Nothobranchius furzeri: one gene and its partner. The protein of the gene in region 1 interacts with the protein of each later gene in a biochemical or structural test. Links are inferred from orthologs where the notes say so. Each region holds a gene or a part of one and is shown on either strand. Other genes may lie near its edges.

Region 1 (15,661 bases):
ACTAAACAACAACCCTCCTGCATTTCTAATGGGACTCACATGTTTCTATAGGTTTTTCTTTTTTTTTTTAAACTGTTTTGGGACCTTGCTTAATAAAGCTTGTTAACAATCAGAAACCCTGACCCTTCCTCATGAGGGTCTTTGTTGTCCTGGTCCACAGGTCAGATGTTTTGATCACGTACCTGTAGGTGTTGGGTTGCTGTGAAACTACCTGGGGTTCAATTCAGACCTCAGGCCGCTGTGCTGCCATAAACACACCTCACACACACCAAGGAGACAAGTGGTGCTGGGACATTTATACTTACCTAAAGACAATAACTGCACAGATGAATAGATGATCCCAACAATTCCTCCAACAAAAGCTCCCGATGATGAAAAATGTCCTATAAATAAATAAAAGTAAAAGAACGCTTCTAACTCTTGATGAACTTTTACACCGTCTGACAATTTCAACATGTATCTCTTTACCTCAACTAAAGACAAATGTCATAATTTAATTGCACCATAAAAACATAGCTGTTGTAACATTGTATAATTTATTTGTATAATCTGTGTTGTATCATACCATTCCACACTATACCAGTTTATTTATCAAGCACATTTAAAAACAGCATGTGAGTGGACCAAAGCGTTACAGGGGATTCAGCAATTATACAAGACCAACAAGCACTCACGACAAAGAATAAAACATGAAAATAAAACCAAAAACACCCAATCAGCTGATTATTATAAGATTATACTAATAAAACACTAAAATGGTGATTCGTGGATCAATTAACACCGATTCAAGCTAAAATGTAACCCAGTTCAGATCCATGATTTAAAAGCCAGATGAATGAGACATTGTCCTAACTGTGAAATAAAAGGACATATAAACATAATAGTCTCCATGTGCTGAGTCTCATGCTGCTCCCATCCTGCTGCTACATGTTCAAATATTCAATTTTCTTTTCCATTTAAAAAACATCATGATTGTTTCCATTCATTTATTTACTTATTTTTATGATTTAATATCAGTTAGCCGTGGCAGCCATCTTGAACAAGATAATTGATTACTAATTACTTTGTAATTTTTTCATTCAAATCAGCCGAGTGACTCAAGAGGTGGAGAGATGCAGAAATGTTAAAAGTTACAGTTCAGACTACAAAGGATGCTTGATGATGTCTGATTACCCAGATCAAATACAAAACTATAAAGAATCAAAATAAAACAAGTGAAAGAAGAAAATGTGAATAAGTTACCTCCAACTCTTAGTTTGATCCTTGATGACGTCTGATTCCCCAGAACGTTTGCAGCCACACAGTAAAACTCTCCTCCCTCAGAGACGTCGAAGCTGTAAAGCTGCTCCTCAGATACTTGAACGGGTCCCTCTGAGCTGATCCTGAACCAGCTGAAGCTGCTGACGGGAGGCTTGGCTAAACTGGAGCAGCTCAGCGTCACCCAGCTACCTGCTGACACCAAACCTGATGGACTGATGGATGCTGAGGTGTCTTTAGGGGCATCTGAGGAAAATGGGACTCACTTGAACTTTATTGATCAGAAGCAGCTGAACCATGACGTGCTGACAGGATCACTTACAGGAAACATGAAGAGTCACTGTCTCTGTTGTTTTCAGACGTTTTCCTCCATCCACAGGGTATGAGACAGAGCATGTGATGTTGTATCCATCATGTGTGTCTGACAGAGTCACGTTCTCCTGGATTTTAGTTGTAGAGGTTTCATCTGGGTTCTTCTGTGTTTGTCTGCCAGAGTCTGGTTGGAGATTCCAGGTGAGTTCAGGAGGTGAGAGTGGACAGGGAGTCGGAGCTGAGCAGGTTATAGAGACAGACTCCTTCTCCTTCAGCTCCTCCAGACCTCCTGAGGTGGTAATCCTGGGTCTCCAAGGAGAATCTGGGATTTCATGTTAAACAGACCCAAATAAAATATTTAGTTTTTTCACTTACGCATAAATATTTGCCGGCATTCAGTTTTGGACCCCCCACCCCTCTCCATTATATAAATGAGGTCTATTGAGCATGAAATTCCAAAATAAATGGAAATTTCAGATCATTGATCATTGAACACAAATCCCATTTTTGCCTGAAACCAGTTAATTTTCTGAAAGATTGTTTGCTGATCTGAAACATTTAAGTGACAATAAATCAGAATAATGACCTTTCACCATGCTTTTTGTATAGATGTATAAATAACGGCTGAAACTCAGGCCTGCTCACCTTTGACCTTGATTTTAACAGGATTACTACAAGCCGTCGCCTTGAATGTTGCATTCTCAACTCTGAAGAAGATATCTTTTGAGTGATCTTTGGTTAAATTGAAGAACATGGTGGTGCAGTTGTTTTGGCTCAGATTTCCAGTCATTTCCATCGGATAGTCTCTCACTGACCCACTGCTGTTGAAAACCACATTTTCTGGGTAGTCTGTGAATTTGGGATTGTCTTTGATCCACACTCCAAAGGTGATCCCTGAGAGGTGGACCCCTTCTTCACTTTTGAAGTGACACGGGATTATTAAACAAGATCCACTCGTGGCCTTCAAGGTCTTTGAAGTAGTAATGAAGAGCTTTGCTTCGTTAGCAGCACAATATGGGCTACCTGTAAATTCAGTATTCAGTTAGTGGAATGCTGCTCCGTTCTGATGTGCTTTTACTGTTAAAATCCAACTAAGATCATCAATAAACTGTAAAAAACAAGGTGACAAAAATCTCACCGGACACAAAGAGGAACCTCAGGAACAACGTAGATGTCACCAGAATGAGAGACATGACGAGTCTGCAATCAGAACCAGTGTGTAGTTTAAAAACACATTTATGAATCATTTATAATAACTTGAGTAAGTGGTAATCAATCATCAGCTCTCCTGTTTCCACCATGTGCAGCAATGATGGGTGTCTTTTAATAAAAGGACATAAAAACAGTTGGAAAAGTTGTCAGCAGCTTTCTGTTTCTAATAAAGTTCAAATAAAACAATCTAAATCACAAATCTATTAGAGCAACACACACGTATACACAACATATATAGAGTGTTTTAGATAACTAACCTCAGGACAAGAAGTGTCTCACCAACGGACGTCTAATGGTCTGAGCGTGCAATCTTTTTTGAGAACCCACCTCTAGGGTGAGAGACGGAAGAAAGAGAAAGGGGATGTACGGTCGCGTCAAAGTTACTTCAGTTGGCTGCAAAACCAACAGTTACACAAGACTAAAATAAAACTAAACATCGTTGTAAATCATGCCTGAAGAGAAAGCAGGTTTAATCTTTGCCACAGAGAAATTTTCCAAGCTTTAAAGACATTACATCTGAAACAGATGACACCCAGAGCTGTTCCGTTACAGTAAGTACACATATTTGTATACGTGTACTGACTGTACACAAAAAATCTGATTTACTCAAAAAATCGGAATTGAGCACCAAGGTGTAGCCCACTGGAATACGTTCCATATTCTGTTTATTTCATTAAGGGTTGAACAATATAGGTCTCGAGAAATATATATATATATATATATAGTGACAAATGGTTTGGATGATTTCCCATTCGCCCCCTGTAATTTATATCTGTGTCCTGCTGGCACTGTGATGGGGGATATTTTAACCAGACATAAATGTGAATATTGCACTGGTGTGGATGTAGTTACCATTTGGGATTTCATGTTTGCTTTGTATCCAGGGCAGGTTGTGATCATCCCATGATTGGCTGCTTCATTTGGACAAACCAAAGGAAATGGGATTTGTTTCTTTGGTCTTAGTGTGAAAATGTTTCTTGTATTGTAGAAACAGTTTTGTCTTTTGTTTATGTTAACATTTAGGTACATTTATGGGGATGTTTATTTCCTTTTGGATTTAATGTTGGAGCACTGATGATTGGGGCTGATTGTTTGCAGGTGTGATTTTCTGGGGTATTTAAAGGAAGCCAGGTGGAGGCTTGAGGTTTTTTTTGTGTGATTTGTAAAGGAAAGCAGTGAAATAAATGCCTGAGAAGCATTTTGGCTCTCAAGGAAAAATGTCCATGTGCTGCAGTTTGCCTCTACTTCTTTCAACTTGAAGACCTTCTGGCTGCTCTACATTCTCACATATATATATATATATAGAGACATGTCGAGTATATATATATATATATATATTAGTTAATCTATGATGTTACCATCATCCACTCATCATCCAGACTTTAGTAGTTTCTACAGGAGTGGCTCATCACTTAAACAAATCAAACTAGGGAAGCAACAATACCAATTTTTCCCAAACCAATATGATACCCGATACTTGGATCTGAGTACTCGCCGATACAGATACTTCTACCACAAAAATGCAATGAATTGGAATACAGGTTTTATTTTCTTCTCTGCTTTCAACAGGAAGACTGTGAGGTAAATAAAAAATAAAATATATTAATACAAATGATCACAAAACTAAAATATAAGGTGAATGGAAATGACAAGTTATAGTGAAGCCACTTTCAGACAACTGCATTGGTATCGGTTCCTGATATTGGTTAACTTTTACCGCTACCAGTATCGGTATCGGTGGTATCCCTAAATCAAACGTAGAAACACACTCCAGCAACAGGTGTCAGCTCCACTTTTCCTAAGTACAACAGAGAGCAGACCGGCACTCTGAAGTTGCAAGTGGGGTATTCTGGTCACAAAGGGCAGTGGGAATGTGAGTGACATTTCATTAACCCTGTAAAGTCATTTTAGCACAAACTGGCTCAACAAAATGATTTAAAAATATGAAAAATCTGCTTACTATGGTTTTAAACTCTTAAATAAATCACGGAGCTCCCTGAAAAACACAAACTTACCCAAGGGTTATTTTACACCCATAGGTAAACCTTTCAGAATAAAAGCATTAAAGTCTGTTTTTTTGCATCCACGTAAACACCAGTTTTGTTCTTTTGTGAGTTTCTGTGATCATTCACTAAAACACACATCAGCACACCATGTTTTCTACAAAAGTTTGTTTTTTATTTGAAGCACAAAGTTTGAGTTGAAATAATCGTTCTGCATTGCAGTTAAAATCCTTATTTAATATCTAGTATTTATAACAAAAACACTTCAAATGCATCTGATTTTTATTTATTTGCCTTTTCTAAACTTGCCAGGAGTGGCTCCAGTTTTCTGCTTTTTCTTTGCTGATCCTTTGACCTCTGGTTCCTGAGAAAACAAAAATAAAACTGCTCACTGAAGCAGAGATAAAACACTTAATGGCTGCTGAAGGATCTGAGGGGATACCTTTCGTTTTGAGGACAGGGATCCAGTGACGGTGAAGAAAGAGTCCAGTCGCCCCTGAGTGCTGCCCTGTCGGCTCTTCAGGATTTTCTTACAGCCGTTACGGATCCTGTCTTCACTGCAAACACAAAGATTAGTGATCAAGACGACTAAAATCAATAAAAACCTAATTATAATCATTTTAAAGTGTTTTCATATGGGTTAAATTGTGTTTATAAATAATAATAAGGAATGTGGGAGGATTTGCTGTAAAGCGGTGAATGAACTCTCCCAAAAAGATAAAAGCTACTAAACATGACATAAAACAGGCCAACAGCACAGACTAATGGTCAAACGTTGTAAGAACAGCTGCATTAAGCACAGTGAACAGGATCTACAAAGACAATCAAACTCGGTGAAGAATGGGACAGGAAAGTCAACTTTTGACCCACTTGAACTGTTTCTCGTTGCACATGAATTGGATCAGTCCCGCCTCGTCGGGCTCGTTCCACTTCAGCTCCACTGAGGAGCAATCTACCACCTCTGGCTCCAGAAACAAATTCCTGGCTTCTTTGTAGAGCCAGTCCTCCGGAGTGGGGTATTTCTGTAGGAATCAGATTCAGAAGCTGGTCTGACTACATAAGTTCCGGTTAAGATGGGATGAGAGGAAACAATAACTCACACTGGAGTCGATGTTTTCTAGGATCTCCTCGATGCAGCCGTGCTGTCGGATCAGGTCGATGGCTCTCTTGGGTCCGATTCCCTTGATGGTGCCACAGTAATCACAACCCAGCAGAATGCATAGATCTATGAACTGGAGACAGGAGAGATTTTAGTCTCATGCATGATATATTCTATCCTGTTAGGAGAAAAAGTAAAGCCCTACCTGCTCAGTGGTCAGGCTAATGTCCTGCAGGACGCGATTGAAGTGGAACTCCTGAATGGGAAGTTTCCTGAAACAGAAAATAATCATGCATAAAACAGAAACTGTCTCTACAGCAAAGCTTAAATCAGGAACTGGTGGTACATACTTGGCTTCACTAGCAGTGAGGTGTCTGAGCAGGACATTTGTCCCAAAGGTAAGACCGTCCATGTCCTCTGTTGCCGTGGCAAACACCTTTCCTGCTTTAACCAGAGCGGCGCAGGTGGCCTCCGCCTCACATGGAGCCTACACCAAACAAATGGTCATTTAAACTTTATTTAGAAAACAGAAAATATCCATTTATCAGCGTAAAAATCTAAATAATGAACCAGAGCTAGCCAAAAGAATCATTATTATAGGCCTGGTGTGTTAAAGATATCGGCCAGAAGCAAAATTCCTCTGTGTAAAGAAGTATTAAAACCTCAGATGAAAAAGGTTTTTGGATTTTCACGGCTGGAATTTTAAGAAAATCTGATGTTTTTTACTGGCACGGGAAAAACAGAAACTAACTTCCGGTCTAAGCCCTGGGCACCTGGTGACGTTTCACAAGGCGCTCTGCTGAAACAGCTGCAGTAAACAACGCCCGACTCCGGTGTTTCTGCGTTAGCGTTTTAGCAGAGAACATTGTGTCATCAGTCTGATGTAGCTTCTGAAGCCTCTGCTAGTCGGTCAGATATGTTTTTTCTCTGGGATACGGCGACGAGGACGGCTATTGGATTACCGGAGAAGTTCAACCGAACTCCGTGCCCGGCAGCTGGAGATCAGAACCGGAGGTGCAGAAATGCTTTGGACCAACCCGCGGCCCGATTAAGACACCGGGGAGGATTCTGTTTGTCTTCTGAACCAAAATCGGTTCCGTTTGTTAAAGTTTGTTAAAGATTTCAAGCCTGTGCTCCACTGATAGTTTTCAGTTAAGTTCTCCATATTGTCCCAATATAATTCAGTAATCTACAGATGAGTAAAATAACATGTTGCCAGCTTTACCGCTGTGTGTATTTATTGATATAACATTGGAAAATATTTAACCGATTTCTTACCAGAATTAAACTTTCTGATGCTAACTCGCTAGCTTGGATTGTTGTTTTCTAATCCAGGATGACACGGAGGTTCTACCGGTCCTATAGGAGGATCTATTGTTGAAAAATGGGGATCATCATTTAGATTATATGTGCAAGTGTGTGTGTGTGTGTGTGTCTCGTAGCTTTCACAAATTACTTGTTCTTTGCCGGAGCTAACACGGTTAGTGCTGCAGCAGTCATGCTAACGGGACTCGCCTGCAGGAGTCCAGAAGTACCGGTGCGGTTCCAAATGGATTTATAGATGTAGGTTATTATTTTAGATCAAACAATTTTCTGTTTTAATCAGGAAGACGATAGTAAACAAAATACACCGATTTACCCATGCTAGCAACAGCAGCTACCTAAATGGTAAATGGCCTGTATTTGATATAGCGCCTTCTAGAGTCCTGGAACCCCTCAAGGCGCTTTACAACACAATCAGTCATTCACCCATTCACACACACATTCACACACTGGTGGGGATGAGCTACAATGTAGCCACAGCTGCCCTGGGGCGCACTGACGCCACCGGTCCCTCCGACCACCACCAGCAGGCAACGTGGGTTAAGTGTCTTGCCCAAGGACACAACGACAGCGACAGACTGAGCGGGGCTCGAACCTGCAACCTTCAGATTACGGGTCGAGCACTTAACTCCTGTGCCACCGTCACCCCAGTTTGACCCCCTAGTATGACGTGTGTGTGAACGATGTATGCAAAACACGGTTCTTCGCTGCCTGGAGAAGAGAATGTTGATTTTCTGTAATGATTTATGACTAAATTCTTTAACAAAATCAAAAACTGAACCCAGTTCATATTTATATTGATGGTAAAGTGTAGTTATACTGTATTTCTACAATTTTAATGCCGAGTCTGGCCACTACCTTTAAGATCTCAACCCTAGCATTAAAAATACAAACCTTGCATACGTTATGTAAACAACAAACATGCACAATGTTGATTTTTTAAAAAGATATTTCCTCAAACTGTGTTTGACTAAATAATAAGACAAGGATCTCCTGACTGGTGTAGCATTTCACTGGTGACCAAAAAGAACAGCTCAGCTGAATGTGACTTCCTCTGGTAGATCTCCTCCAAACTCTGATTCCAGTTTATTTAAAATAAATAAAACCCGACAAAGGAGAAAAACAACAGAATCCTAAAATTTAAACAAAATAATCACAGCTAAAGAAGATAATTTGTCTAAAATATGAGGACTAAAGCAACTTGTTGGTTATCTGGGGGTTTAAATGCTTGATTATGACTCTACGTGTTAAGAGTTAAAACTTTATTTTACCTCGATGTAAGGCACTCCCATCAGTGTCAGCAGCTGTTTGCACTCATCGTTGTGCTGCTTGGTGACTTTTACAAGCCGCTTGGAGAACTTGTCAATATTCTCTTGTTCCCCTGATTTAAGGAAAAACGTGATAAAGTTGTAAAAGAAACTGTGTAATGTCCAGAGTGGTTTAAAATTCACTTATCGGAATAAAAACGGAACATTTACCCATTTCCTGGGCTTGAGCGAGTAACTTCTCTGCTTCTGCTCTCCTTTCCCCTCTCTTCTCCAGCTAAATGATGAAAAACAGAAATTACAAACTGACAAAAGGTAAAAATCAACATGAGAATGAAAAATAAACCCGTTTTTATTATTATTCCTCCTCTGATGTCACACTGTAGAGAATTCGTTTAGGCTTTGGGTTCATACTGACCTCGGCTGACTTGAGCTGTGGAGGCTTTCCATCAAACACGTACACAGGCTTGATCCCGTTCTCCAACATGCGGATTGTACGGTAGAACATTCCCATCAGGTGGCTACGGAAGAATAAATGACAAAAGTGCCTTGTAGTTAAAAGCAATTGCTTCAAGTGCTAGTTTATCTTTAAATCGCATAAATATCATGAATGAGTCCCTGTTGTTTACACTGCACCTTGTAGTCTCTCCTTCTTCGTTCTGCAGAACATTCCCATCCTGTCGAACAGCTATCAGGAACTGGTAGATGCACATGGAAGCATCTATGGCAATTTTCCTGCCTGAAATGTGTAATTTAGGAAAGACATTAGGCTTTTCAAGAAAATGTGAACATTTGCGATCATGTTTAAGGCCTCGTGTAAATAAAAAGTTAAAATTTTATTTAGACACACAGAATAACTAGAGTATTTTCTCATTTTTGGAGTGCTTAATCATTTAAACGAAGGTAAAGTGGAGCTACACGTTTACCAAAGTAGTTCTTTATGTCTTGTTCCTTAATTGCACCAGGGGCATGGTCAGCGATCAACTTGGCAAGTCCGTGTATTCCCATGGTGATTTATCTGAAAACAGAAATAAACTCAACGTATTAATGCAGCGGCACACAGTGTCACATTCATACAGCAAGACAATGTGTTTGCACATCAGAATACGCTAACGAGTCAACACCTATCAAACCACGACTTTTAGATGACTCTACAGTCAGTAACTGGAAGCTACGTTCAATTGGGGGGTTTCATTACGATACACACGCTACATAAGAGGTTGAATTGATGAAATAACGTCAGTTCTGATAGTCCTCACCAGTTAGCAAAACGTAGTTTAACCACTCGGACTTATCGAGCGCGAGAATCTGCGTGTAACTCGCGGGAAATCAAATTGCAGGCATTAATACTAGAACTGTAGAACGTTGTCCACATTCAATCCGCACATCAATGATGCGGGTGCGATTAAACTGGCTGGAGATCGAGCAGCAGCATCAAACAAACACCTGATTGGTTCATCGGTGTTGAAGGAAATCCGGTTCGTCCTGTAAAACAGTGGAGTCGCCATGCTATGAGCTCTAAACGGTTTAATTGAGGGGTTTAGTGCTTTTAACGATTACAAATAACACTTTTAACTGCGTACGAAGAGAAACACATCCCCAGTCCCAAGTTTCCGGTGTCGTTTCGTGTGTTTTTTTTCTTTTTTTCTCCGCCCACCCCCGGAAAACCAAACTGAGTCGTCGTTATTTTTATTTCTTGAGGTGACGTGTTGGAGCAGTTTTCTCGTGTGTCGGCGAAAATACCGAGTGTACCCGGATATGGACGCGGTGGTTATTATATAGGCTGCATGTAGGATGTCCGTTGTGTGCGTGGGTTGTGAGTGAGCCCCGCGGAAGAGACCGCTGCTGGGGCCCGGAGCCCGAGCAGGAGCCCGGCGGACGGACTGGTTCTGTTGGTTTGGACGCATCGGGACTGGAGTGACACGACAGCGAGACTGGTAAGTCACATTCTGGGAACTAGTCTAACATCTGTTTCACCTTTTGTCACAGAGGGAAGCTTCTTTGTTTTTACAGAGTAACATAAACAAAGCTATTGTGATCTGCTTGGCTTTGGTCTTATTTTTTTAATCTTAAAATCTTCAAGATTCTGTCTGGTAGGCGAAATGTCATTTCCTAGTAATATTTTACAATACGGCGACTTTTATTTGTCTTTAACATTCCTTTTCTGGGTCCTCCCTTTAACTAAATTTAATCTTATCTATTTTAAATCAAATTAAATGCTTCAAAACATTCATCTTAAATGAGTCCAGATAGCTGAGTAGAAACTTGTTTTTAGGATGATCTAAAGTTTAAATCACTATCTGGGTCTTGATTCGTTCATCCATCCAGTGTGAAGAAGAGCACTGCTGGTTACTCACGGCCTCTCAGTTCTAGATTAGATTGTTGTGAGATGCAAACATGAAGTGGGACTCAAATTCAGCATGCCCTCTGACCCACAGGGGTTACGCGCTGTGATACCAGTAAACGATGGCTCCGGTCTGTGTCCTGATCCTGGTCCTGGTCGGCTGGGCAGCGGGCCACAAGCTGGGCGACAATGTGACCCTTTATGTCAATAAAGTAGGTCCATATCACAACCCTCAGGAGACGTATCACTACTACACCTTACCTGTGTGCAGACCGGAAAAGGTCAGTGTTTGATCTGTGTTTCTATGTAATTAGTGTGTTGCAGCACAGAGAAAGGAGGCATTCATTATTTTATTTAAGGTGTAATTTTATCTGACTGCAGCAATAAAAAGATGTCATGTATCGAGAGATGTTAGATGATATGTTGCTTGTTACCTTGGTGCTAACAGGATGAGTGCATATCAGCTTACTTTGATGTTTTCTTATGAATGCATATAATTACTGTGTGTATGTGGACTGTAAACCTTTTCATTTCTTTAAACTCAAGTTGTTTTAATTTAAAAATATCATTCAGTTCATTAAATGGTCATTAATCATTTTTTCTGTTATTTAAGAGCTTAAATATCACCAGCAGCAGCAAAATGAAGCACCTTGGCGCCATCCAGGGGTCAAATCCAGCTGAGATAACTGCGTAACAGAGAAATGTGGGTGCTGGGGAGGAGTCTAAATAAAATAGTGTGAATTTGTGAGATTTATTAAAAGAAAACAGCAAAATAAGCTTTAAGTTTCTTAATAATGAAGGATGTAAACTCAGTTTCTCTGATCAGAAGCTTTTCATGAAACTCCTGACGATGATCAGTCAATCAAATTTTATTTGTAGAGCACCTTCCACAACGTTATCGGAAGCCCAAAGTGCTGAACAGCATCATCATAAGAAAAACATTCCCAGTACATGGGCATAAAAGCAAGATAAAAACATAAAATCATAAAATATCAAGCAAACAATATTACAAATAAAGAGAGATAACGGAAATAAGACTAATCGATCAAAAACAAATGGTGGACAAAATAAAATCAAGCATCTGGGTTAAAAAGAAGAAGAATTAAAACCATAATGTCAGGGCAATTCAAAGAACCCTAGCGCTAAAACGCAATCAAATAAAAATGAGTCTTTAAACGAGACTTAAAGACTTGAAGGGATGGTGCCTGCCTAATGCTCATGGGTCATATTGTATCAGTCCTTATCTATGTTTGTGTTATGCTTCGACAGATTTCAAAATAAGATGTGTTTTGTTCTTTTTGCGGAAGGTTTGAACTCCTTGTAGCTTAAGAAAATTATATTTTGTCGTCTAGCACCAAACTATCAGTGATGAAGGTTGACTGTTTTCAGTCTAACTGCATTAGGTTCTGTTCTGAGCTCATTTTTCTGACATAATCATCGTCACCCTTTAATGCAGGTGCACCACAAGTCCCTGAGTCTGGGAGAAGTGCTGGATGGCGACAGGATGGCAGAGTCGTTGTATCACATCCGCTTCGGAGAAAACGTGGGGAAGAAAGTCCTCTGCCAGCTCACTCTGTCCGAAAAACAGGTCATTTCCAGGAGATAGACTCCGTCATGAACGCACCTTAATTTGCCAACAACGTGTTTAAAATTCCAGAAATTGCAGTTTTTTTTTAAAGTTTTTTGTTGACTAACTTTTATGAACTCTGAAACGCTTGTTGGTGCTTGTGCGCGTCAGGTGGACGAGCTTCGCGAGGCCATCGAGGAGCTGTACTACTTTGAGTTTGTCCTGGATGACATACCCATCTGGGGGTTTGTGGGCTACATCGAGGAGAGCGGCTTCCTGCCTCACAGCCACAAGGTGAGAGGAGGAATCTGGTCTGTGAGGTCGGCTGTTTGTGCTGATCTCTTTCCTTTAACCTGTCGACCCCTTTGACCTTTACCAGGTGGGCTTGTGGACTCACCTGGACTTCAACATCGAGTACAACGGCGAATCTGTGATCTTCGCAAACGTCTCGGTGAAAGACGTCAAGCCTTTCCCCCTGGAGGAGGGGGCGGGTGCTGCGGTGGGTGGCATGGGAGTCGGGGGAGGCAGCCTGACGGTCACACACACCTACAGCGTGCACTGGTATGAGTCCAGTCTGCCCTACGCCCGGAGAGCTGAGCGCCTCCGAGACTACTCCTTCTTCCCTAAAACCCTGGAGATCCACTGGCTGTCAATCATCAACTCTCTGGTGCTAGTGGTGCTGTTGCTGGGCTTCGTCATCATCATCCTCATGAGGGTCCTGAAGAACGACTTTGCTCGGTTAGTGAGCAGAGATTTTAATCTCGCTGGCATCTCAGCCAGGCTCTGATGCACGTCTGTGATCCCTGCAGGTATAACGTGGAAGAGGAGGGCGGCTGTGATGATCTGGACCAAGGAGATAACGGATGGAAGATCATCCACACGGACGTGTTCAGGTTTCCTCCTTTCAAAAGCCTGCTGTGCGCAGTGCTGGGAGTCGGAGCTCAGTTCCTAACCCTCGCCACCGGTGAGTCTTGCGTCAAACAGCCCAAAAAACACCCTGTTGAATTCTAAAACACACCTGTTTGCCTCAGCCATCATCATCATGGCGTTGCTGGGAAGGTTCAACGTACATCGCCATGGCGCCATCAACTCTGCGGCCATCGTCCTGTACGCTCTGACCAGCTGCGTGTCGGGGTACGTCTCGTGTAGCTTCTACACTCAGATCAACGGCCAGCGCTGGGTGTGGAACATCATCCTCACGTCTTCTCTCTTCTCAGGTGAGCGTCTTGACATTCCACCTCACCTTTGGCTCACCCCACATGTTATTCATCTTCTAGATTTTTATCTTGCAACACTTTATTTCTACACTGTTAACCTTCACGCCGGTGCTGTTTTAATCTTGTACTGTACAATTTGTACTATTAACACATGTCTTAACCATTTGGTTCCTTACAAAATGATGGTTAATGGGCAGATAAATAAAATAAATTATGGTTTATTTGAAATAAAATTGATAAATCTGTAGAATGTTTGTAATTTTGAGTCACATTCCTGGTTTTTTAAACCAACAGCAAAATTGTTCAAGCAGGAAGAAAGAAACATAAAAACACACACTAAACATTAGTCTCAAATGTGTTTAATCATTATTTTTTCATTTTTCTAGTCGAAAACAAAAGTTTTTCAGGAGAAACACAGATTAGAAGAGTGTTCACATCATGAATGTATTAAAAATAGCCGCATTGCTCATAATTCTAATAGTTCACAACTCTTGTGTTGGCTGATCTGTTTTCAGATGCGTTAACCATGTATCACCACTAGAGGGTGACACATTATTATTATTATGCCTCACACAGCTTGAATCCAACAAAGTTGTTCCAAAAACATGCTTAATATTCACCAATAAATGGAAACTCAGCAGCAAAACAAGCAATGCTAATTTCATGAAGTCCTAGGCTAAAATTCATCTTCCCTTTGCTGGTTTATGGTTGTAAAAATCCATGTTATAGTAAAAGAAACCACTTTTTTACCTGCTGGAGAGCTTTTTTAAGTATCTGATGCCACATGACATTATTTTTTGGTTCTCCGTAATAAAAAAACTCCACAAAGTGTACTCAGCCGCTCTAAAATACCGTTGAAGAGAGATGCACTGGTGTTATTTTCTTAGCTGACAGGTGGAAATCGACTGAGGTTCAACAGATGACTTGTTCGCACACGTGCTGAGCTTTGAGGATTTTATCTCAGAAAATGTTCTAAAAGGAAAGAAATACTTTGAAAGTTTTTAATCTTTTCAGAAGCAAATAAAACATTGTCAGGGTCCATGTTTGCTGTGTTGCAGGTATTATAAAAGTTTTACTGGTACTGATTCTTATCATTCCAGAAATAAGTCTTGCAGTACATGCTGGACGATTTCACTGCTGTTATGTTTAGTCACACTGCCCGGTTTGAGTCTGTGGTGAAAGAATGAACATCAATGCCTTTTATTTGATTTCCTGGTGATTTTGCTTCTGCAGCAAATGAGTTGTGATGCTTTTTCAGGGCTGAGAGCTTTTGCCAACTCAGCATCTATTTATTTAGCTTTAGCCAATAGGAATCGTGCAGATGAGGGTGTTTGTCAACAAAACAAATTAAATTGGCCAATGAGTTTATGGAACTTACTTTTTATTTAATCAGCTGAAAGAGTTTAAATACAGCTCTCTAATAAATGATTAATGCTTTAATCACACCAGTTGTCCACTGGAAACGCTGATAACACATCTTATTAACCCGGTTTCCAGCTCCTCTCTTCCTGACGTGGAGCGTGGTGAACTCTGTTCACTGGTGGAGCGGCTCAACTCAGGCTCTGCCCGCCACCACCGTGCTCCTCCTGCTCGGCGCCTGGGTGCTGGTGGGCTTCCCCCTCACCGTCATCGGCGGCATCGTGGGAAAGAATCGGGCCGGGAACTTCCAGGCGCCGTGCCGCACACGTAACATCCCCCGGCAGATCCCCAAGCAGCCCTGGTACAAGCACGCCGTTATACACATGGCTATCGGTGGCTTCCTGCCGTTCAGGTGAGGAAATGTTGAATCTGAACATCACAAGTGTTAAGCTTCACACTGAACTCTACTCCAACGCCTCCCTCAGCGCCATTTCTGTGGAGCTGTACTACATCTTTGCCACCGTTTGGGGCAGAGAGCACTACACCCTCTACGGCATCCTGCTGTGCGTCTACGCCATCCTCCTCTCAGTGGGTGCCTGCATCTCCGTGGCGCTGACGTACTTCCTGCTGTCTGGTGAGGACTACCGCTGGTGGTGGCGCAGCGTGCTAAGCACTGGATCCACGGGCCTCTTCATCTTCGTCT
Region 2 (15,734 bases), about 22 Mb from region 1:
TGGATTCCTGTTGGACTCTGTCAGCAGAAAATAAGGAAAAAAACTTTCATGATGATTTAGGTGAGAAAATGAAACCTTCAAAATAAAAGTCCTGATTAGAAGTTTCTTTATTCGCTGATAGAAATAAATTCACCTGAGAGTTTGTAAATCTGAGCCTCGGGTCTCAGAAATGTGACCCAAATGTAGAAAACCATCATTAGTTTTCTCCTGATAGATGAAACCGGACCGAAGACCTTCTCACTGACCAGAAGCGGTTCAGAGGAAGGGAGAGCAGCAGAACCATCAGAGGTTCTGACCCACTTCAGCTGCTGTGGAGCTCCGGGGTGTCCGGTTGCATCCCGCTGATAGGAATAAACCAGGAATATGTCTCAGATCCAGAAACTTCTGCTGCTTCAGGAGGACTTTCCCTCTTCAGAACCAGAACATTTTTATTTTTAAGCCAAAAGAAAACTGAAGTTTTCAGGTTTTTAAAACATTTGAACTGAATCTGAAAGTTTAAAGAACAGAACCCAATCCAACCAGAACCAGAACCAGTGTCTACACAGGCTGCTGCGACTGCATGGTTCTGGTAAACGCTGACACAGCTCTGGCTCATCCCTTGAGTTAGGAGCATGGACGTAGTTTTGAGGGGGGACAAGGGGGACGTGTCCCCTGCCCTTTTTACCGTCCAAAAGCAACATTACGCTGCGCTGACTGGACACTGGTTGAGCTCTAGGACCACGCGGAAAACAACCGCTTGTGTTGAAGCCCTTTCCCATTAGACCTGCCCACAAGCTCATCTATTGGCTCTGCTGATACTTGCTAACGTGTGATTGGCCGTTCCTGCCCCCTGTGTACTTAGTTCTGCATTCCCGACATTGTATTAAAGCGTCGTGGTTCTTTCTTTTGGAATGTGCTTGACCCACATGAACGCTCAGGAGACCAGGAGATGTAGGAATACAAGAGAGGGTAAAAGCGGGTTTGGTTCCTGTGGATTAAATAAAGTTTCAGACGAATTTAAGATTTTTACACAAATAAAACCAATAGAACAAAAACCTGTGAAACAAATAAACCGACTCTGACTCCGGATCGTCTGAGTCTGCAACAGAAAACGAACCAAGAAAAGATGAAAATACTTTATTCATCAATCTGATTTTCTTTAATCTCAAACAATAAACATAAACGTTTACAAGCGTCAACAAATCTAATCTAAAATTGTGACAGCCTTCATGCAGAAAAACAAAAAACCCAGGTCCGAATCGGATCAATCTGGATTTTCTACCGAGTCTCAAACACAGCCAGAACCGAGTCGTTTGTAGGAGCCATATGTGTCATTTCTTTTTGTGCACTTGAGAGGAGGCTTGGCCTCATGCTATTGGTTAATTGCTTGTGGAAGCACCAGCCTACTTAAGCCAACACAGAATGGACTCAGGTGTGGCTGGATGGGACAAACGGTTTTTTACTGTGTGGCGAGGACTGTGGCTGTGTGTAACGGACTCTGCGGACTGTCATTGGGGCAAGTAACGCATTCACTGAAACCCACTTTAACTGCTGTAAATGGATCCTGGACATTTTGGAACAAAACATCATAATGAACATCATCAGAAATAAACTCAAGCTGCATTTCTTAAAGCACACGTAAAGACCACCCGCAACAGCTACCAGGTAGTGCCAGTGTATAGGGCACTGGTGCTACACTTCATCGTTAATAAAAATCTGTTTATTTAACTCGACTCGTGTGAAAAAAAAAAACACAGGAGAGACGAAGATGTGCAGAGCAGCAGCTGCCCATTGAGCCGGGTCAGACAGGAGACGCAGCGCAGCACGGACCTACACACACACATATAAACACACACACGCACACACATATAAACACACACACACATATACCAGGTATTGAGTCGTCCTGAAAAGCCGTTACGCTCGGGCAAAGCCAAAATCGAAGTCAAGGGCCGGACTAAGGTCAATCCAAAAGTCAATCCAAATCTAGAACATGCTAACGAACGAAGTTAAACACAAGGGTACCACGAGGAGAAGAGAAAAGAGTGAACACCTCCGTGTCCACACCTTCTATGGAGCTAGGATTGGGACAATATTCAGCGTAACTTGTACCAAGTTTTGTAACTTCGAACATGTTTCATCACATGTAACTTTAGTTTTCTAACTTGTAATTCTCAATTCGTACTTGTATTTCTTGTTTTGTAACAGGAACGTTGTATTTTGTACATGTATTTTTTTATTTTGTAACATCAAACATTCATTCAGATACATGAAACTTTCGTTTTGTAACTAGCAAACTTCCAAATTGAAAAAAATCAATGTACAAGTTTGAAATCAAAACTCTCAAAACACACATTTCATTCTACAGGTACAACCCTGAAATCTACAGTTACGGATCTTTTTGTCTCGATTCTAGCGTCAGTGGGAGGAACTTGGGTGGAACCAATGAGAGCACGAGTCTTAGCTACCAATCACGTTTCTCAAATTCCTGTCCAATCATTGGGAGAGGAGGGCGGGGTTCTGGTTCTGTCAGAGCTGTAGAGAGTTACGACACGGAAAGCGGGAGTCACGTGGTTCATGGAGCTTTGAATAGTTCCAAACAGCCCCGCTGCTGCATTGACCGTAGTTCATTTTCGGTGTTTCGGAAGGATTTTCTCCGGTAAGTTGATGAAATGTCATCATTTTGTTGCGTTGTGAAGCGTTAGCTAACCGCTTCGTACCAAAATAAGCCAACGATGATATTTTATGTTGCCAGTTTCAGCTAGATAACCTTTAATGAGCTAACTGTGTGCAGCTTGTTGGTTGTGAGCAGGAGGACGAGCTGTAGACGGGTTTCTTTCAGTTTGTTTGATTCTACGTTTTAAAAATATTCCCCACAGTTTGAAATAGGTTATAAACTTTTTACATTATTAGTTTTATTTGGGATTTTTTGTACAATATGTTGCTGTATCAACACGAACACGCATCAGAAATGGAAGCACAAATGGAGAGACCAATAATAAAGAAAATGTGATTGTGAAGACAAGTAATTATTTAATTTTTTTCAGTTAACACTGACTACAACGAACTGCTGAAGCATGAGACAAACAGGATTACAAACATAAGAAGATATGTTGTTCTGTTTTGTGGACTCAAGTAATAAGAATAGCATTAAGATAATTCAAGAACAGTTGAACAATAACTTTTAAAAATTAGACATTTTCCATAAAACTGCTCATTTCCACTTGCTTTATAATATTAGCATTTGCAATTTTGTTATTAAGGAATGACAAGAAATAAGAATTAATAACACAACTATCAATAAATAAATGTCAAAGAGTAACTAAAACAAAGATCTTATGTAACCATTAAAGGTTAAACTGTGTTGTGTGTCCATCTTCATGTTTTCATAGTGGCTGAGTGGAGAGCTGACCAGGAACAACGGTGGTGGTAAAACCCAGTTGGGTCTGTGATGGAGTGATGCTCGCCTGGAGTGATTGCCATCTCATCCACAGTGAGCACACACTCTCTTTCCATCTCTGTCAGGTTTTTAACCTTCAAACTGAGCATGTCACACACCTCTCCTAACACACCTGGTTCCAGTTTAACGGGCTGCATTTGTCTGTGCAGGTTCTAACATCAGGCAGAGGGATACTCGTGTCCTGAAGAAACCTGCAGCCTGTTGAACCCACTGAAAAACGGAGCTGTACGGCCTTTTTGATTGTCTGTTTACTCCATTTACCGCCTCTTGTGTTTTTCATGCCTTTTTGACTTTCTGTTTCCTCCCTTAGGTTTTCCAGCTGGGTTCCCTGCTTGCAGCCTGTTCCTTTCTCCTCCTGGCCCTGACGCCCGCTCCTCGTGGCTTCCTGGGATGTCCCTCTCTCCTGACACCATCTCAAGTCCCCCCTCACTTTGCCTCATCTCATTTGCCTCACTGCTGCTGCTGCTTTCCTCATTCTCTGAATTTATAATGGCACTGTTAGAATAAAGAATCATTTTAAAATAAAATAAATACAAATGTCTTAATATTTCAAAAGATTGGTACCACAGTTTACTGGAGTACAACATGTGTGGTCGCTGGTCAGTGGATCAACATGCAGTGGTTCTGCTGTACTTCTCACTGCGGGGTCCTTCCTCCTCCTTGGTTCAGGGCGATGAACAAACAGCATCAGCCCTGAGTCTCACCTTGCCTTGCCTAGTCTTAGTAAACTGTCCCTCCTCTACATGTGCCTGTAGAGTGGTGTATTAATTTATTTCCTGCCACATTTAACAGTTTAATTGCAGCCTTTTGCAGTTGAGAGCAGAACATGTAGAGCCTTGATAGAAAACATGTGAGAGTGCACATTAAACTGACTGCACACAGCTTTTTGTTATTGTGATCTCTGGTCATGGTGAGGTTGCTCCTGCTGACTCGAGCCAACCATTTTCTTCTTCTCTCTGCGTCTTTGGGGAAGCCGTAATTCTGATTCCTCCATCAGACCGTTTGCTATATGCAGCGCAGCCAACTATGTAAGATATTCAACCTATAAAGGGATTATTAAAATACTATTTTTGTACATATAGAAATATTGAACAGAACCAAAAATATAGAAATGTAAAATTACATTTAAAACTTTCTCCAACCCTAAAATTTGTAATTTCAAATTTTAACCCACAAACACATTTTAATTTAATAATAATCAAAATAAAGTTATTCAAAAGAGTTTCATTAGGTCTTGAGTACATTGCTCATAATGAATGATTCAGCTTATTTGTGCATATGTAATGACTAAACATGATGTTGGTAAAATGCTTTATTAAAAATGCTATTATACATGTTGTACAAGTTTGTGTTCATTTTTTCACAGTTAACACTTTTTTATCTACTGTGATGAACCATACAGTTTTATTGAAGTTTTCTTTGTAATTAGTTGCTATAGAAACCAGATAAGCTGGGTTATAGATGCATGTGCTGTCTTCACATAAAAATATAAAGTAATGATTGTAAAATGTATTCTACTGAACATAATAGATCATCATTCTAAGCATAAACACCTACATATTTTCTTCAAGGTAAGCTGGAGCAAAATTCTAGCTTTAATAAACACTTTAAAATGGATATTACAACTTGAGTTTAGGGCTTCTTGCAGGACTTAAAGTTATTAAATATGCTTATATTAAAGCAGTGTGTTGCATTACTACATCACATTTATTGCTATAGTATATTATAGTAATGTATGTGGTCTAAATGTGTTCTACAGTGTTTGGACTGTCGTGTTCCTGTAATGTAGAACAGTCACGGCTGTCTGTCTTCCTACAAATGCTCGGAAAAATATAAATAGGCCACTTTGTGAAGGAGTTAGGACTTAATATATATATAATATATAATATTATTCAACAAATACCACAAATCACCAGGGGAAATGTGATTATATTAAATTTTTGTGATTTGTCCCACCATACGCCGTTCAAACTGACTTACGGCGCTGGGATGTTTGGAACTGAGAGCTCCGTGAACCACGTGACCGCGAGTCGGCGAGTTCAAAGAGTGTCGCAGCTCTCTCTCTACAGCTCTGACAGAACCCCGCCCTCCTCTCCCAATGATTGGACAGGAATTCGAGAAACGTGATTGGTAGCTAAGACTCGTGCTCTCATTGGTTCCACCCAAGTTCCTCCCACTGACGCTAGAATCGAGACAAAAAGATCCGTAACTGTAGATTTGAGGGTTGTACCTGTAGAATGAAATGTGTGTTTTGAGAGTTTTGATTTCAAACTTGTACCTTGATTTTTTTTATTTTGGAAGTCTGCTAGTTACAAAACGAAAGTTTCATGTATCTGAATGAATGTTTGATGTTACAAAATGAGTAAATGTACAAAATAAAAGTTTGATTTTACAAAATAAAAAATACATGTACAAAATACAACGTTCCTGTTACAAAACAAGAAATACAAGTACGAACTGAGAATTACAAGTTAGAAAACTAAAGTTACAAGTTACGAATCCAAAGTTACATGTGATGAAACATGTTCAAAGTTACAAAACTTGGTACAAGTTACGCTGAATATTGTCCCGATCCTAGCTCCATAGATCAGGAGGTTCTGAGAGGATTAGTCACAGAAAGTTCTTACATAAAACTTTATCTGACTTTGAGCTCCAGGCAGAAACTCTTCAGACTTTTATTTATGATCCCAGAGGTTTTAAAAAAATAAAATGCTTTAAACAGGGCTAGAGTTCATTTGAGTCTCGTCTGATTCTGGTTTAGTTTAATGAATCATAATAGATTTAGTAAATGAATGAAGAACCCAGTGGTTCTGGGAGGAACCCTGCCGCTGCTCCAGAGCTTTAAGGAGCTTAGGAAGGACCTAGACCTGTTTGGTTTCAGGGAAAGTTAAGCTTTTTATTTCTAAAGACCAAAAACAATCAAAACAACACAAGAACAAGGAAAATAGCAGACAGAAAAGGAAAGGTTAGAAAACACAAAACTAAATTTGATTTTATATATTCAGCTAATTTACTTCATCAAACAGCAAATAAAGAGAAGAAATCATGAAAGAAGAAGAAAATATCATTTCTATATTGCCTCTCAAGACAAAAATCACGAGGTGCTTCACAAAAACAAAAAATATAAAAAAGCATTCAGAAAATGTTTAAAAATATATTTAAAATGAGCAAAAAATAGACAAGAAGGGAGATCAGTGGATCCTGAGGAAGGTGGGGTAGGTGGGGAGAGCAGAACAGGAGAGGGTGATGAAGGACACACAAAGCCAGCCTGAACAAGTGAAATAGTGAAATAACTGATGAGCCTCCATACAGAATATCTGTTTATTGGTTTAATCAGTTCAGAGTTGCTGAGATATAAAAGGATTTTATGCTGAAATGAAAACAAATGAAACGGGTTTGTTTTGTCTGTAAATCAGGAGCATAAACAGGATCAGTCCTTTCATTTCGCTTTACTACCCATTCAGAACAAACCCCATTCAGAAAAATTATTTGAGATTTTAAAGTAAAAATAATGTATTATAACATTTATTTGCCTTTAAATTTGGATTTGACCTGCTATCAAATGAGGAAATAAAAAATTTTTGCTCTATTTTCTTCCTTTTTAGCAACTTTTAAAAACATTTTAAGACAAAACAAACTTTTTTTCTCATTTAACTAAAACATATTTAAATTAGCGCCCAAAACTCCTGACTCAGTCCAGAACCTCTGACCCAGGAGGTGGACCCACGGTGGACTGGGTCAGAACCTCTGACCCAGACCAGAACCTCTGACCCAGTCCTCATCTCTTTCTTCCCACCCTCCTGTTCCTGGTCTTTAATTCACTCGAACCTGATTTAAGGTAGAAATTGACTCCTAACTCAAGGGATGATCCAGAACCAACCATGTTTTTATCATTTTAAGTGTCGCCGATTTCTCTGTTAATAGGAACGTTTAACAGAGGAAAGCTGCTGTTTCCGTCGGACCTTTTTAAAGGCGGACACAACAAACTCCCTCCTTTCTCTTCTCTTTAAGTTTAGATTAAAGTTTTTAAAGTCAATATGAAGTTTCGGGGGAAAATCATCGACGTCGCCTGTTTAAACCACTTTAGTCGTGAGTTTTTATAAACGTTTGTCTGGCGGTGCTAACGTGTTAGTAGCTTATGTTAGCCTAACGTGTTAGCTTAACATGTTAGCTCGCTTTCTGTTTTGGTGTTGAGTTCGAATTAAATTATTTGTTATAAAAGCAGTGAATGAAAACCCGTTTATCTTTAAATAAAACATGTTCAGAGTCAGAGAAAACTTTACTATTTAGTCTGAGACGCATTACAGTCGGTCAGTAGTTTTAAAACGTGTTTGTGTCTCCAGGAGTGATCACCACCATCTCTAAGCTGACCAAGACGTGCGTCATGCGGCTGACGCCAGACAACCTGTTCTTTGTTCTGTCCGGTAAAGTGACCAACGGGGGGGTCAGCATGTGGTGTGAGCTGCATCAGGTGAGCTCAGGTGGCTCCTTTAGCCCGGGGGGGGGGGGGGGGGACCAGAACAACAAGACAGCTGTCGGTCTGACATCATGAATGCATCACAGGTGTTGGTAAAGCTGCGGCCCGCGGGCCTTTAGTGGTCCTCCACTTTAGTTCCAGAAGTGTGTTCTTAGTATTCCTCGTGTTTTATTAGCTTTTATTGATCGGTATTGTTATGGTCTGTTGTTGTTGTTGTTTGATTGGTCGTGTTTTAGTCCAGCCTGCGCGGCGCTTTGGGCGGCTCTCGTGTTGTGTTTTAAATGTGCTTTATAAATAAAGTTTCGTACGGTGAGAACATCAGAAAATGTTGAGCTTGACCCAAAGTCAATGGCGCTTTTCCTGGTAACTGAGAACACAAACGCATCACGAGTCAGAACCAGGGGCCTGATGGTACCAGAACATACTGGTATGAGGTCCAGGCCGTGACCGGGCTAATGCCAAGTGCTTCCTCCCTCCAGGCCAACTTCTTCGATGAGTTCCAGATGGAGGGCGTGTCCTCGGAGTTTAATGAGATCTGCTTGGAGGTGACGCCAGAAAACCTGTCCAGAGCCCTGAAGACGGTCCAGAACGCCAAGTCGGTCAAAGTCAAGCTGACCAAGAAGCACTGTCCCTGTCTGACTGTCGCCGCCGAGCTGGTGAGACAGGCCGAGGACCACGGACTCTGGTTCTGCTGCGCTGGCTCCATAAATGTTCTGATTCTCATATAAATCATCTCCAGAATGTTGAAGGTTCTGGTTTAGAGGTTCAGATGCAGCATACTGGTTCTGAGTTAGTCTAATCGGGCTCAGTTCATGACCCTGATCTCCCTCTGACCCGTCCAGCCCTCCCTGTCCAGCAACAGTCGGGTCGTTACCCACGACGTTCCGGTTGAAGTCGTTCCCCGGAGTCTCTGGCACGAGTTTAAAGAACCAAGCATGCCGGACTTCGACGTGAGCTTGATTTGAATCTTTGTTAAAGTTTTGGGTTCCTGAAGCGGGCCCGTCTCACTGCTTGTCTCTGCAGGTGAGCATCTACCTGCCGCCTCTGAAGACCATGAAGAACGTCGTCGACAGGATGAAGAACCTCTCCAACTTCCTGGTAGGATCAGTTCCCAGATGAGGAACTTTAACGGCCACCAGGTGGCGCTGTTGGGCCAGAACCCGTCAGTTCTGCAGCGATTTAAGAATATAATCTTTCATTCAGTTAACACTCAACAAAGGTGAAGATGTTTGAGTCAGCCAACAGAGAAACTGATCTGCAGCCTACGAGTAATTCTGTCAATGAGACTCGTTAGTTTAACTAGTTCCTGGTTAAAAATCCGAGTTAAACTTCCTGAAAGCCACATCAGGAGAGCTTAAGCTGCCGGTTTGATGCAGATTAACGTTTAACTCCAGGTGATGGAGGCCAATCTGAGCGGAGAGATGAACCTGAAGATCGAGACCGACCTGGTTTCTGTCACCACTCACTTCAAAGACCTGGGGAACCCTTCATGGGGTAAAACATCTGGACCCATCCGCCTACCGGTTCCTCAGATTAACCCCAACGTGGTGGAGGTCACCAGAATGACTCCTCATGTCTCCACAGGAGACGCCGCGTCGCAGGATGGCGGCGCGTCTCAGAGCAGGGACCCAGAGGCCATGGCGGAGGTCCGGGTGGACATCAGGAAGCTGCAGCAGTTCCTCGTGGGTCAGCAGGTCAACCCCAGCAAAGCCATGTGCAGTGAGTTGAGTCTTAAAGCAGTTAGAGCCAGAGGAGACCCCGCCCGGTGCTCCTTACAGGACTGATCAGATCCTAGCGAACCCAGCATGTGATCATGTCTAAAACCAGATTATTTCTGACTAGAAACTCAGATTACAGAAGCGTGTGATAATCTGAGTTCAGGTTTCTGGTCTCCTCAGACATCGTCCATCAGAGCGTGGTCCACCTGATCCTGCTGCACGATGACGTCTCTCTGCAGTATTTCATTCCTGCTGTGGCCTGAAGCTCCTGCAGGCTTCTGTGGAGTTTCAGTTGGGAGACAAAAACCGGCTGGAACCAGTTTCTCTGAGCTGGTCCTGTTGGTGACGTGAAGAGCCAATCAGCAGACAGGAATGGCTCTCCGTGGGTTTTCTGTGTTTAATAGTAATTCCGATTCCTGCCGAGATGACGGGAAAACTCACATTTACACGAGTTTGTTGGATCAACGTCTGATTAAATAAAACTTGTTTACAGTTTTGTGTTTTTATTACATTTATTTTTATTTTAGAGCTAAATCAGAATTCTGATGATTAATGTTTTTATCACTAAACTAAACAGGAAGTTATAAACTAGAACTTTCAACAACTCCATTACCCATGAGCCTCTGGGAGCAGCAGGTCACATGACTGAGCCCAGTTTCAGCCATCAGAAAAATCAAAGGTGATCAAACACGACTAAATGAATTCCCAGCATTCCTTAAAGGAATTCTTTCTGCTTCCATGTGGGAGTTTTGGAGTTTGTTGTGTTTCCATCAGATGTTACATCATCAGGTGATGTCATCAGGTGTTCAGTGGGTGACCTGTGGTCATTTCTACTAAACGATCCTTGGATGGGAGGAAAAGCAGGATTTAAGGTGCGGTTCCTCCAGGTATTCCTGGTTTGACTCGGTCTGGAAGTTCTGGTTGTGTGTTAGCTGTCCAGAACCACGGCTGGAGGAGAAGGCATGAAGTCCAGAAGATGATTGTTGAACAATGACAGTAAATGTCAGAGGGGTAGGGTTAACCTGTGGGGGCAGATCTGTCCTCGGACGACATCTTCAGTTGATTTGTTGTTTTGTTTTGGTTTATCAGCTTTGTTTGTTTGTTTTTGTCTGCTCGTCGTGTGCCGCCCTTTTGCCTTGAAGATGAAGTTTGGCGCCGACAGGCTGTGATGGATTAGATTGTACAGTAACGTCTGTCTGCAGGTGTCTCCAGGCAGCAGCTGCTGGAGCATCCACACCACCACCACCCTGCAGCAGGTGTGTTGTTCCTAATGAACGCTGCGGCCTCGTCAATAATTACAGTAAATGTAGGAATCAGATCAATTGTGTTTGTAAAATGAAGCAGGACACAACCAGCCAAATGCAGCGGTGTGACGGTTGGGATGTGCTCTATGCTACGAGTCAGTCAGCAGCATCAGCACCACCCCATCTCTGAAGGTCAGCCTGCAGCAGGTGAGCTCTGTAATAACCTGTTCCTCAGGTGTGTCCTGTTATTTCTACATCACTGATGATTAACATCCATGTTTGCACGTGTGTTTGATTAGCTTCCAGCTGAAGGGACAGACAGCATCAGCTCAGCCGCCTGAGGACGCCCACACCCGTCAACACATCCTGAAGCTCGTGACGAGTCTCCCAAGGCTCCTCTAGACCTGCTGACTGACTCACCTGGCTGGTAAGATGCAGGTGGAGCTAGTCCACAGAGGCTCCATCAGCTAACATCAGAGAAGCTGGATGAAGTGTCCCCTGACATGTCGGTGGCCCTGGTTGCTGCCATAATGCCAGTGCTGGTGCTGGTTCTGTCACCCAGTTCATTGTACCTTTGGATCACCATGATGCCAGAGACAGCTGCTGCTGCAGGGGGGGGCGGGCGGGGGCCACAAACCGCGGGCCGGGACTTCAGATCAGATCTCGCTCCAGAGCCTCGTGTGACTCCTGCTTGTTCAGACCTTCGTCTTCGTAAAGATTCTTCTGGGGCACATATTCATCTTCCTCATCCAGAGATGAGAAGTCCTGTGAGGTAATCAGAAGAACAACCAGCAGAAACCAGCAGCAGGACCTTTTAACTGGAGTTAGACAGATTATTTACAGCTCAGTAAAACAATCAAACACGAGTTAAATGATCACATCAACAGAAGCGTCTGCCCAGGTTCTGCTTCTTCATCAGTTTGTGTTAAAAACGGGAATCAGAACTCCTCCGTGGCTTTAGGAGGACAGGAAATGATGCGTGAAAGTGTTTACTAATGTCTCCTTCTCCGGTCTTCCTCTCCTATCACATCCTTTTGGAGCAGAGGGCTGAACTGGTTCACGTGGGAGTGATCAGGTATCTATTCTATTATTCTATTCTATTCTATTCTATACTGTTTTAGTTGAAGCTGCAGTTTCACCTCTTCACCAGCTGGGGGAGCTGATGTTCCACACGACACTCCCCTACAGGAACCACTTCACAGTTTGTAGTTTTATAAATTATTTACAAATAAACAACAAAACATCTCCAGTGTAGAGCAGCTGTAAACAACAAACGTCTCAAAGCTCAGCTGGTTTTTCTATAGAGGCCCAAAATTCACAATCATGACTGTTTCTTTAGAACGGGTTTAAAAATCAACATTTTAAACGCGGATCTCTTAATTATGACCCAGTTATAACGCACCATGTGATCGCTCTTTTATGAGCTTCTGCATTTCCAGAGATCTCCTTTCTGCTTCTTCTGTTGTTTTTGTTATCTCGGTCACTGATCATCGTTAAAAGCTCATTTCTATCAAGTTTAAATGAGCTCAGGTCATTAAATGTGAAGAAGGATGAAGTCCAGAGGAACCATCCTAGTCCAGGATGAAACCAGGGTCTGATCCAGGATCTGGATTCATCTTTGGACCCACGTCTCAAACATTTTCTCACGAAAGGAAAATTCCAGCTGAGGGAATGTTGTAACTGAAGTGATGCTTCAGTCAGTGCTCTGTTTAAGGACGGAGTTTCCTGAGAAAACTACATCAAAGTTCAGCTGTCTGAGCGCTGCTGCCCCCTAGCGGAGGGGTGCGTGCAGCGCAGCACCCAGACCCAGGTACTCCAGGTTCTCTGCAGCAGGGAGGAACACGCCGTCCCCTGTTAGAGCCTCAGAAGTGCTGCTGGTCAGAGACAGGAAATTGGCCTTGTAGTCTGGACTACGGAGGCTGTCGCCATCCTCCGGGGGTAGCGAGCTCTGGGTCATGTTTAGGTACTCCGGTCCAGAAAACGACTTGGTGGCCCAGGACTGGTTCAGGTCCTCGTAGTTGGGATTAAAGACCTCTGATAGCCTGCTGCTGCTGCGTCTGGTTTCACTCACGCTCTGGTTCGTGTAGTCTGGGAGAAAGCAGGAAACATATCAGGAATAACTCTGGCAGTGATGATCATTCAGGTCTGGTCTGAACCAGTACCGTGTCCGGTGACGCCTCCTGCAACCAGTGCTCCGCGGGTGGGATCAGCGTTGTAACGCAGAGTCATGCTGTTCTCTCTGATCGGACGGCCGACCTGACATGAACAGATAAATAAATAATTATCTGTGTTTAAACAGCTGATCAACCAGTGATGGGACGTCTTCCGCCCCCTGGTGGCCGGCAGAGGTACAGCAGGTCATCCCAGAACAGTCGTAACCATCAGACGAAACCAGAACTATGACTTTAAAAATCAGACTTTGTGTTTTAAAATGATGACTTTTTAAAACTAATTAGGACTCAGAAACTCAGAATTATGAAAAGTCTCCGGATCATATTTATGTATTTTATATTACTTAGTATAACTTTGACTTAGAACAACAGAATCATGTGTTTCAAACTTTTACTTCATGATACCAGAAAATTAGAATCGTTGCTTTAACTCCACAGTTATTGTGTTTTACATCATGACTAAAGACAGGAAAACTCCTGACTCATTAAATCATTTTTATTGATTGTAAATTTGACGGGTAACCTATGACTGACTTTAAAAGTGACCCTTCTGGGTCTCCGTACCAGAGTCAAACAGTCATAATTACTGCCTTTAGAATGAAAACTGGTGCTAAACTCTTTGTGCACGTCGCCTCTTGCGTGTGTTTTTACCATGGTGTTGCAGGGGTGGTTGCCATGGTTACTCTGGCCTTTGTACGGCTGCAGGTATTCCTCTGCATCGACCACGTCGTCCAGGTCGTCTGAGCTCAGCAGGCGAGAGTAAAACCGTCTGTCGGACGGACTCGGCAGGTCACCCTGAGACACAAGTCCGTTGTTGTTTACATTTAACTGGAACATTCATCAGATTTTCACCACAGCACCGTCGGATCAGACCAGTGGCACACCTGTATGACCAGGTATCTGGACGGGTCACGAGCCATCTGAGAGAACTCTGCCACCAGCTCTCTGAAGCGAGGCCGGCTGGCCGGGTCGATCATCCAACCTGCAGGAAGACAAAGGTCAGAAGAGCTGATCTTCCACACCGAGGTCAGAGTCCAGATCCAGAACGGAGTCCCCTTACATTTCACCATGATCATGTAGACGTCGATGGTGCAGATGGGAGGCTGAGGCAGCCGCTCTCCTCTCTCCAGCACCGAGGAGACGTCTCTGGCCTGGATGGTGTCGTACGGTTTAGAGCCGAAGGTCATCAGCTCCCACACCGTCACACCTGTAGGGCACGGAGGCTTAGAGCTGACTAACACACACCTGCTGCAGCTGCACAGCCTCCACAGACATCATCGCTCCCACATAAGTGTGTATCTATTCATCATTATTAATTAGTTATTTATGACGGTTACTGGGAATCCTTCAGCAGAAGTTTACGTTTAAACCAAATCATCTCAGATTAGTCTGTATCAGAGACACGTAACAAAATAACTTCGTGTTTTTGTTTTTTATTCTTGATATTTTCTACGTAAGAATGGCAGAACATGTGGGGTCTTGTCCGGGATCTCCCATCTCATTTTAAGGACTCTCCCTTGGTTTTGACGATTGGGTTGAGGACACGTTTTTATGAATCAGGTTTTGATCAGACGTGTTTTTGGAGTTTGTTCCGGGTTTGTTCGGAACCGTTTTAACGTGAAGTGCTTCGGGTCGCCTCGGGTTGTGGTGAATAAAGAATGATGATGATGATGATGAAAACCTTCAGTTGGAGTAAAACTTCCCATTTTAAAGCAACTGAACTTGTTTTTTCTCCAGAACCAGTGAATTAAAATTCCGTCGTTGCTCATTCCTGTTTCCTGATTGGCTGATGCGATTTCTAAGGCAACAAACAGGAAATGAAAAGCGTTTGGTGTGACGCCGCCTCACCGTAGCTCCAGACGTCGCTCTGATGGGTGAAGGTGAACTGGAGGATCGACTCTAACGCCATCCACTTGATGGGAACCTGCAGAGAGGAAAAGTCCAAACATCCAAAAGAACCACAAGAACCGGGTCGCTTCAAGAACCTGAGCTTGGTAAATGCACGAGTTTCCTGGTGACCTCATGTCCTCTGGTGAGTTTATCTTTAATTTGTGCTGCATGTAAAGCTCCTCCAGACGGGTCTAAACCCGTGTTCCGACTCCTTCAGAACCACGTGAAGCTCCGGACTGGACACCCACCTTCCCTCCATCGGCGTGGTACTCCGTCTCGTTGGCCGTCAGCAGCTTGGCGAGGCCGAAGTCGGTGATCTTGACATGATTTGGATTTTTTAACAGGACGTTCCTCGCTGCCAGGTCTCGGTGCACCAGGTGACGCTCCTCCAGGTAGCTCATCCCCTGAGCAGAAACAGGAAACACCTTTTAACCACAGAAATGATCCCCTAACTCCAGGAGCTCTTCTGCATCCATGCAGCTCATTTCACACCAAGTCTGTGGCCTCATTTTTGATTTTCCCATCATTTTAACTTCCAAACAGGATTTTTAATTGACCAAGGGGATTAGGAGTATCCATCAGCGTTCCTGCTAACGAGCCGCTGCAGGCTTACAGGAAGCCGTGGACAGAAGCAGCGCCTCGGGCGCGGACTTAAAGGCTCACCTTGGCGATCTGAACACACCAGTTCAGGAGCCACTGACCACAGATGGTCTCCTGGTGGTGTCGGACGTAATCCAGCAAACAGCCGTAGGGCATCAGCTGAGTGACGAGCTGCACCGACGACGTCAGGCAGAT

What was found.
Region 2: the proteins of fen1 (region 1) and hus1 form a complex in vitro, tested with the Homo sapiens proteins (2 studies listed by BioGRID). The link is inferred for Nothobranchius furzeri from reciprocal best matches to the Homo sapiens genes FEN1 and HUS1.

Annotation. Positions count from the first base shown.
Region 1 is NC_091747.1:42,121,533-42,137,193, forward strand, and holds fen1 (flap endonuclease 1), read right to left. Parts: upstream 9,840-15,661; 5' UTR 9,731-9,839; intron 9,694-9,730; exon of another isoform or gene 9,596-9,693; intron 9,490-9,595; 5' UTR 9,480-9,489; coding exon 9,398-9,479; intron 9,211-9,397; coding exon 9,108-9,210; intron 8,993-9,107; coding exon 8,890-8,992; intron 8,749-8,889; coding exon 8,685-8,748; intron 8,588-8,684; coding exon 8,478-8,587; intron 6,371-8,477; coding exon 6,234-6,370; intron 6,156-6,233; coding exon 6,089-6,155; intron 6,017-6,088; coding exon 5,885-6,016; intron 5,807-5,884; coding exon 5,655-5,806; intron 5,342-5,654; coding exon 5,227-5,341; intron 5,149-5,226; coding exon 5,071-5,148; 3' UTR 4,710-5,070; downstream 1-4,709. Other genes in the region: sialic acid-binding Ig-like lectin 12, read right to left, coding at 306-383, 1,243-1,503, 1,580-1,891, 2,215-2,592, 2,708-2,816; tm9sf1 (transmembrane 9 superfamily member 1), read left to right, coding at 10,938-11,096, 12,272-12,403, 12,554-12,676, 12,762-13,120, 13,192-13,346, 13,414-13,599, 15,097-15,370, 15,444-15,661. UniProt on the Homo sapiens protein: Structure-specific nuclease with 5'-flap endonuclease and 5'-3' exonuclease activities involved in DNA replication and repair.
Region 2 is NC_091747.1:63,756,171-63,771,904, reverse strand, and holds hus1 (checkpoint protein HUS1), read left to right. Parts: upstream 1-7,367; 5' UTR 7,368-7,476; coding exon 7,477-7,528; intron 7,529-7,782; coding exon 7,783-7,910; intron 7,911-8,395; coding exon 8,396-8,572; intron 8,573-8,758; coding exon 8,759-8,866; intron 8,867-8,939; coding exon 8,940-9,014; intron 9,015-9,310; coding exon 9,311-9,410; intron 9,411-9,500; coding exon 9,501-9,635; intron 9,636-9,814; coding exon 9,815-9,897; 3' UTR 9,898-10,130; downstream 10,131-15,734. Other genes in the region: melanoma receptor tyrosine-protein kinase, read right to left, coding at 12,650-12,966, 13,041-13,134, 13,701-13,844, 13,934-14,031, 14,110-14,256, 14,898-14,973, 15,188-15,343, 15,603-15,734. UniProt on the Homo sapiens protein: Component of the 9-1-1 cell-cycle checkpoint response complex that plays a major role in DNA repair. The 9-1-1 complex is recruited to DNA lesion upon damage by the RAD17-replication factor C (RFC) clamp loader complex.